Linked DNA regions of Caenorhabditis elegans. The protein of the gene in region 1 interacts with the protein of each later gene in a pairwise test. Each region holds a gene or a part of one and is shown on either strand. Other genes may lie near its edges.

Evidence for each region.
Region 2: the proteins of ZC443.4 (region 1) and nhr-34 interact in a two-hybrid assay, tested with the Caenorhabditis elegans proteins (one large-scale study listed by BioGRID).

Annotation. Positions count from the first base shown.
Region 1 is NC_003283.11:12,817,892-12,821,821, reverse strand, and holds the start of ZC443.4 (DUF659 domain-containing protein), read left to right. Parts: upstream 1-1,935; 5' UTR 1,936-2,776; coding exon 2,777-3,118; intron 3,119-3,569; coding exon 3,570-3,680; intron 3,681-3,727; coding exon 3,728-3,930. Other genes in the region: ugt-18 (UDP-glucuronosyltransferase), read right to left, coding at 1-36, 81-573, 622-711, 760-802, 1,099-1,281, 1,343-1,489.
Region 2 is NC_003282.8:9,670,661-9,674,590, forward strand, and holds the start of nhr-34 (Nuclear hormone receptor family member nhr-34), read right to left. Parts: upstream 2,011-3,930; 5' UTR 2,002-2,010; coding exon 1,907-2,001; intron 1-1,906. UniProt on the Caenorhabditis elegans protein: Orphan nuclear receptor.

The DNA.
Region 1 (3,930 bases):
TCAGGCATATTTCCGAACACATATAAAAATGATTTTCTGAAAGAGTTGAATTTTTGATATTGATGTTTGCATTTTCTTACTTGAACTCCTCAGGCATTTCCGATGAAAATGCATTTGATCCGAATGAAATCAAAACATTCTGCTTGCGTATATTAAGTATATTATTCCATTCATCACTTAATTTTGTTTTAGCCTCGTTTGTGTTAACCTGCATTCCGCCAACAAAAACAGTTTTAGGCAAAGCTGGAGACGGATAATCAATGTATTGATTTGAATTTATCAAATTAAATGCTACTCCTGTGAAAAGATCTTCCCAAGTTTCAGTTCCATTATAATATGGCTTAATCATCTCCAGCTCTTTTTCATATCTTGATCCATACAGATATTTCGTAAAAAGCATTGTGATCATGTTTTTGACACGTGCTACAAACGACATTTTGTCATCATGTGGAGAGAAAAGTCCAGGGTAGTAACTGATCGCAGCTGGCTCTCCATGAGCATACTTTACAGCGTCCTTAAATAAATTCGACTCTGCATTTATGACATTCTTGATTCCAATGTGGTCGAATAAAGCTGAAAAAGTGTATTAAATTGAAATATATACATACGACAAAAACTGACCAAATGGGCATGCAAAAAGGGATTCCGTTATTGCAAGATCGAAATGCTCATTTCTCAGACGATCGATAATATCTTTTTGTTGGAAAATATCTGTAAGCGAGAAAATAGACTAAGAATTCATTCAGAAAAGGTACTCACATTCACACTGGTAGCCTATAGCCAGGTTCATTGAGCCGACAATCTGGAATTTCGAAATGTTTTCAGATTATTTTTTCACATTAACTGGCATTATTTTCTCATTTGAGAGAAACTTTTCAAATTCAAACACGTTTAGGTTCAACAATTCGCTACCACATCGCAATCAACTTTTAAGAACTGCCACCCACTTTTCAGACTTTACAAAAAAAAATTCTGTTTGACCAACTTTAACCACTAAAGTTTTTCGCTTTTAAGTCTTCTAAAAAAACGAAAAACGGCAACCTCGGTGCGTACTAAGGCCTTGCTTCAAATACTTCATCGAAAGCAAAAAATACTAACCGTTACCAGAGACATCATTTCAGGATCCATTCTCCATACTCTTGCCCTTCCCATATGCTCAATCCCTTCTTCTTCGAAAAGTTTTCCAGCTCTCTCGTCTCTTCCTATTCTCACTACATCTTTCACTTTTTTTGAGCCAACAAAATCTTTCTTAGTTATCAGATACTCTGGGATCAGCATAGTCTGAAAATTTTCTAAAGTGTTTTTAAAGTTAATTAATGTATAACTTTTATATAAATCTTACCACATTGTGTCCTGCATCAATGAGAATATCAGATATTTTTCCAAGAAAATTAGAATGACTTGCACCATAAGCAGGATTGAAAACCAAAACTTTATACGTTAATGTAGAATGTATTAATACAAAGAATAAAATAAGAGCGAATTTCATGATCGGAGTAATCTTAACTTGAATGATTGGTTTGTAAGATAAGAAATGGAAATGTTGACTATTTGGTCGAAATTATGTGCATTTGGCAACAATTTATGACAAATTTCTATTGTGATAGACCTGCTCGTGATAGTGATAATTCAGCGTCCGGGAAAACCTCCGGCCTCTTGTTCCGCATATGCTTTCTCCTCATTTCCCACAGATTTTTACTGATGATGGGAAAGGTTTCAAATTTAAAATGAATGTCAGAAGACGAACTTTGGTTCGATTTCGAATAGTTAACAGTTAGCATATCTAACAGAATTATTAGATATGTTCACATGTAAGTTTGCGAAATATTTCAAAATATTTCAAGGTCTTCTTGAGCGGAGTGAGACTGTAGGTGTGTATCAAACTGGCCTATCTTAAAAATAGACATCTGGGAAACAAACTAACAAAAATATCACTTTTCTGCTGTACCAGTCATAAATTAACATCCATTTAACTTTAGAAGGAACAATTTGTTGTATATGTAGTAACTGAAAAGTATTTTGTCACATTTTATTATTTCATGTTTTTCATGTTTAGCCAAGTTGCAGATCGTTTTCCAAAAAAAAAAGAGTCAAAGAGTATTCCGCCTTGTAACGATTTTGTTGAAAAATGAAATTTTTCCCACCCTAACGAAATAATTTTCAAACGTTTCTTTAAAATTTTAACGAATTTCGTTTAAAGTTCGAGTCACTTCTCTTCACATGTTCCCAAACACTGCCATTTTTCAAAAAACGTTTTCCACACACGTTTGCCTTCAAAAAAAAAGAGGCCAGCCATCCATTTCTGTTTTTTTTCTTGCCAACCAGTCATCTAGTCCCGTGATTCTCTCACACCGACTAGTAGTCCGTCAAGTCCTTCATTGTGCAGCACACACACGGCGCCACGAAACGACGTCTTCTTCTGCTCTGTCAGTCTCGTCTCTGCCTGGGACATCTGACCAATAAATATTCAGAGAAACGACGGCGTAGAGGCCGCTTCGCATAGCCGCTCGCCAGTCGGCTCTTGCTTCGTCCTCCTCTTCTCCCTATATTTTGCCAGTTGTTTGTCGTCGAACACCCCTCCTCGGCCGCTCAAACACACACACGTCGCCATCGCTCGCGTCGCGGTCTCTCGGTAGTCTCGTGTGTTCTTTATTTCTCACATCGACCCTCCTGCCCATAATTAGGAAGGTCGTTGTTTCCGACATCTGTCGCCTTTGCAAACTTCTTGATTCTATTTTCCTTATCTTTTGCCCCAATTCTCACTTAATTCCCTAAAATGCCAGTGGTGAACACTGCAAACTTTGTGGACCGACTACGTGACATCACCAAGAGGATCGATATCCGTCCGAGTCTTCAGAATGTCTCAAAGCGCTGGCACAACGTTTACGATGCTCTAGCAGTCGGCTCTCCTCAACAAGTTCAGGAATTCTACAAGTATATCAAAGTATACAAACAATGTCCCGCCAACGATCTACTCTTCATGAATATGACAGTACAACTGGCTCGTGCTGCAATGTTTCCAACTAATAGCATGTTTAAGCAAATGCTCAAATTTGAGAAGCATATGGATGGACTCATTTTAGCGGAAGGAATCCATGGAGTTTATGGATCTCGCGGGGTGAGTGAATTAACTTTGATTGAATATATTATGAACCCACTGCAAATTGAGTTCTAGTGCTGAACGGGAAGTTTATGTAGATTTGCTAAATTTAATTATGGTAGTTGAAATCGGAAATGGTTGAATATTAACACGAAGAAATCAGTCGCGTATGAAGAAATGGGATGCAAGACTGATTGAAAAAATACGGTAGCGATATATTTTGAAACCCGATTTTGCTAACAGGATTCCTCTGTATTATTCAAAAATTCTATCAAAAACAATAAAAGGTCCCTTATCTAAAAGGTCCCTAAGCACAAAAATGTTAGTCTTCAAATTTTTTTCTTATCGGAAATTGTTTGAAATACATTATTATGAAATTTGTTGACTACACTCGGAACTAGAGCACGAAAATATAATATAATTGCCGTGCTAGATAGAGTTCCGCTCTGAAAGTTTCACTGGTTTTCAGATTGAAATTCTCTGTGGTCACAATGATCATTTGCTCCGAAGATACAGAAGATTTAAGCGACATTCTGAAATCAAGCGAGCTGATAAAGAGATAAAAATTGCTAGAAAAACGGTAAATTTTAACATGTTAACTTGAACTTGATTAATTTAATATTTCAGGCAAAACAAATGGCAGCTTTGAGAGAAGTTCGAGCAAAGTCAAGATCACAGAAGAATGTGCCAGCCTATTCATTTGATGATCCAGCTCTGATTCCTGGAGAAGGCCCAATTCCTGAGAGAGCTACAAAAGTATACTACAATGCTGTGAAAAGTGTTCAAGCTCCAACTCCTGAGCAGGCTCCGGTGGCACAAGATGTTGTGGT
Region 2 (3,930 bases), on another chromosome or scaffold:
ATTAAAAGAAAATCAAACAATCATTGGAAAAAACCATTTCTTGGTCTACTACACTAACAGAATAGTTCAAATTTTAGGGATAGAATTAAGGGAATTTTCGAGATTTTAAAAGTTTGAGTAAAATTTTATCACATTTTTAATAGTACAAATTAAATCAAAAATACAATTTCCACTAAAAACGAAAGAAAAAATTTCTCAAAATCAATTTCTGAAGACTATGGCTATTCCGTATCACAAAAGCTCCTTGTTACAGTGAAAAAAGTGTAGTCTGACAATTGAAACAAGAAACAGTTCCCTGCAACCAAATATAGTCAAAAACGATATTGAAACAGTGAGTGAGAGAGATTGAAAGCGAGGCAAAAAAAGAGTTGAAGACCAACATAAAATACACATAATCAGTGTAAAACTCACTGTCTTTCATCATCTCTTTTACTCTTTTTCCCTAGCGTTTCAACTGAAAAATGGAAACTTTTCGTCCTTTTCCCTCTCAATTCTGCCGACGGTTTGTTTGTACAAAGGGCGGCGAGAGAAGTATCAACGTGGATACGCAGAGAAAGGAGTGGATCGAAAGATCAAATTGAGTGTGAATTGAGTAGAGAGACACCACGTGGCACTACTGACCCGATGGTCAACAAGACGCTCGGATCTTTGGTCTTATAGTTAGCAACCAGAGAAGAATGTTTTACATTTTTATAGGATTGAAGTGGGAATTGACATTCAAAAACCCTCCGACTAATCCGTTATTTACTGGAAAAAGAGTGACGATGTTGAAAGGTACAGTTTGCACCGAATTCAGAATAAAATGAGAAAATCGTGTCGATAGGGTCAGGAATGGACAAGAATGATATCATCGGGCGAAGAATCGATAGTCGATTGACGCCATCCGATCAATTGGTAGAGGCAAAGGACTGGTTGTGATTTATGGAAGTTACAGGCAAATGGATAGATGGACAAAAATCGAACTTATTTAATTTAGTCCGATGTCTATGATTTCCAAAATTTTTGAACTAATTCCAAAATACAACTTGAACTTTTTGGAAGCATTTTTTAATCCTGTGCCATGAGTTCACGATTATTCAGCGTATGAAATTCCAGCTTAACTTCTAGAAATCGTGGAAGCATCTAGTTTTAGTGGTTCGTCAAAACTGTTTTTCTACAGAAAATAAACAAATGAACGTTCATGCCGTCAAGTCAGTCTTACCGCCGAATTTACACGTGTTTCTGCGCTGAAAAATAAAAAATACACTATTTCAAAGTTAAAATTTGCAGCAGTATCTGGAAAACATGTCACTTTTTCTTGAAAAAAGGTTTTTTTTATATTTACAAAGCAAACAAAAAAACATATATGACACACCTGAAAACATTGGCAGATCCGAAAATCTATTGATATAATGCAAAACAAAGAAGGCCTGTCAAATTGATGCAATGTGACTTCACTAGACTCTTTTTAAACTCTTGATCAAATAAAACTTGCAAATCAGAATATACTACAGTCTACTCAAATTATTTTTACTAAAAATTCATTTAATCAATTAGCGGATATATTGCTGGTAATATCAGTTTAATACTGATAAGAGTGAACTTGCAAAGCAGGCAGACAGCTTCTAAAATCTGTCAATTTTGAATGAACTGCCGACAATCGAACTTTCAATACTGTGTTTTTATAAGTTACTGTTAAAAGTCTTTAATTGAAAACCCCTCAAATAGATTAGTTCTTATTTAAAAAATAAAACAATCACGATCATCTCTTTTTTTTTCTTGTTATCATTTTTCTCCGAAAAGATCTCAAAATAAGTGATTATCATGTTTAGTTGTCTTCCTAACCGTATCTTCATTTTTCATAATTTCTATCATATTATCTTCTTCCTTTTTCTTTGATCTATTCCTTTTTTCTTCATTCTCCCACCTTTTATCAATACATTCTTGCACGTCTTCATTCCCAGTTTCACACCCAAAACGATCAGACATCCAAGATATATTGAAAATACAGTAATCCGTCATGCTAGGTGCCTGCAAAAGCGTTACATCACGTGGTCTTTCGATGACCCTGTATGACAGAGAAAAATGGGAGAAATTGATGAAATTCTGATGATGATGGTGGATAATATTATCGAATGTGGGATAGGAAAAAGAGTACAAAATACGTTATTTTTCATGAAAACTATTAGGAAAACTGGAACAACTGTTTGATCAAGTTACAGATAATACGGCAAGAAAAAATGTGACAAAGTCGTCAAAACTTACAATTAGATTCAGCAATATTTTCTAAATTTTGTAATAATCACTGTGAGCTCTAGGTGTTTTTTTCAGTTTTGCCGAACCTATGTTCAAGAATTCTCAACTACGATTTTTCAACAAAAAAATAATTTTTTGGGAAAAGCAGGGCACAGTGTTGAGTGCACCAATTTTTTTGTAGGACTCTTGATTACAGAACTGAAAAAATGCTTACAATTATAAAATTAAAAAAGGCTTTAACTGCAAATTGTAAATTGTGGAATGTAACCTTTTGAATTTCTTATTCGGTATGCATAAAAACATGTCAGGCGTACAAAATTTTGAAAATTGGCTGAACGGATGAAAATGAAAAAGCTTACTAGTCAGAACATAAATTGTATGGAGCACGATTTTATTCATTTTCAGTCGCGTCCCGTCGGCTCTGTATTTATAACAGGTATGTATGTCGGTTAAATTTTAAAAAATTAAGTGAAAGTTTGCATTATTCATAATTGATGTCACGTGAAGCAGTTGAAAAGGTGAGAAGGTCATGCGAAACCGGATCGCTTGATTAGAGTAAGAGTACGGCAAACTTTCATTAAGAAGTTTTGATTGCTGACAGTACAAAGTAGTAGTTTTAAAAATTGAATGTTATAAAAAGTACAATTTTCAAAATGTAGTTATTCGTAATCAGTTGCAAAGAGAATTCTATAAAATAAATTACTAAAACTTGCCCAGAAATGAAAAAAACATGGGAATAAACGTAGCATTTATACCACACAAACTATATTAAATATCAATTTCAAAAATGTTCATTGATCCAAAAAGAATCAGAAGAACAAAACAAAATACACATTTTCTCTTCTGACCTGACTTCACTTTAGTCAAAATCTCTGGCAGGGGAATTCGAAAGATCAGTTGGCGTAGACCAGCTTCTGACATATTCCTACAATCAGAATAGCTCTCTGCCCTCCTCTCCCGATAATCAGCTGTTATTGCACAGATTATCTTTTGCTCTTTTTACGTACTTCAAGCACGTAGCAGCATATTGAGATTATTCAAGTAGAGTAGAGACGATCATTTGATCTTCTCATATTTCTCGCCCCTTTTTCATCTGAAACCAACAAGTTCTGATTTGATGTGGTGGTCAAGAAGACTAGAGTTTGGCAAGCGTGCGCGCAAAGCAAAAGGAGGAGGACAAAGTGTTTTCTTTTGAATATATACGAAAAACAGAAAATGCGGAAAAAAGATCAAAAGATGGAGCAGTGATCTCTGCACCACCGAAACACAACACACTTTTTGCACACACACACGCATTGAGGGTGGTTAAAACGACGTAGATAAGGTTTCGAATATTAGACAAAAGGTATGGCGACTAGATGCGAGAGTCAGATTACAATATGACTTTCCAAAGAATTCATCACATAAATAAGAAGGTAATTTGTCTGACCTTTTTGTATTGGTGTATTGCTCTTGTGCCCTAATTTCTCAAATTTTCTACCTTCGCCATTGCAACCTACGCCTGCCTGTGCCTATATAGGCATCTATACTCTTAGTTTACTGCCAAAGCACACGCAAACCTCACTTTCAGCTTCATTCTAAAAACGTTTAGTGGGAAAATTAATTATGCGTAAATTTATGCTAAGCGAGCGCCAAGAGCGCCAAACGGAACTGCACCGCCTGTTGAAACTTTTAATAAAAAATCTTTTTCACAAG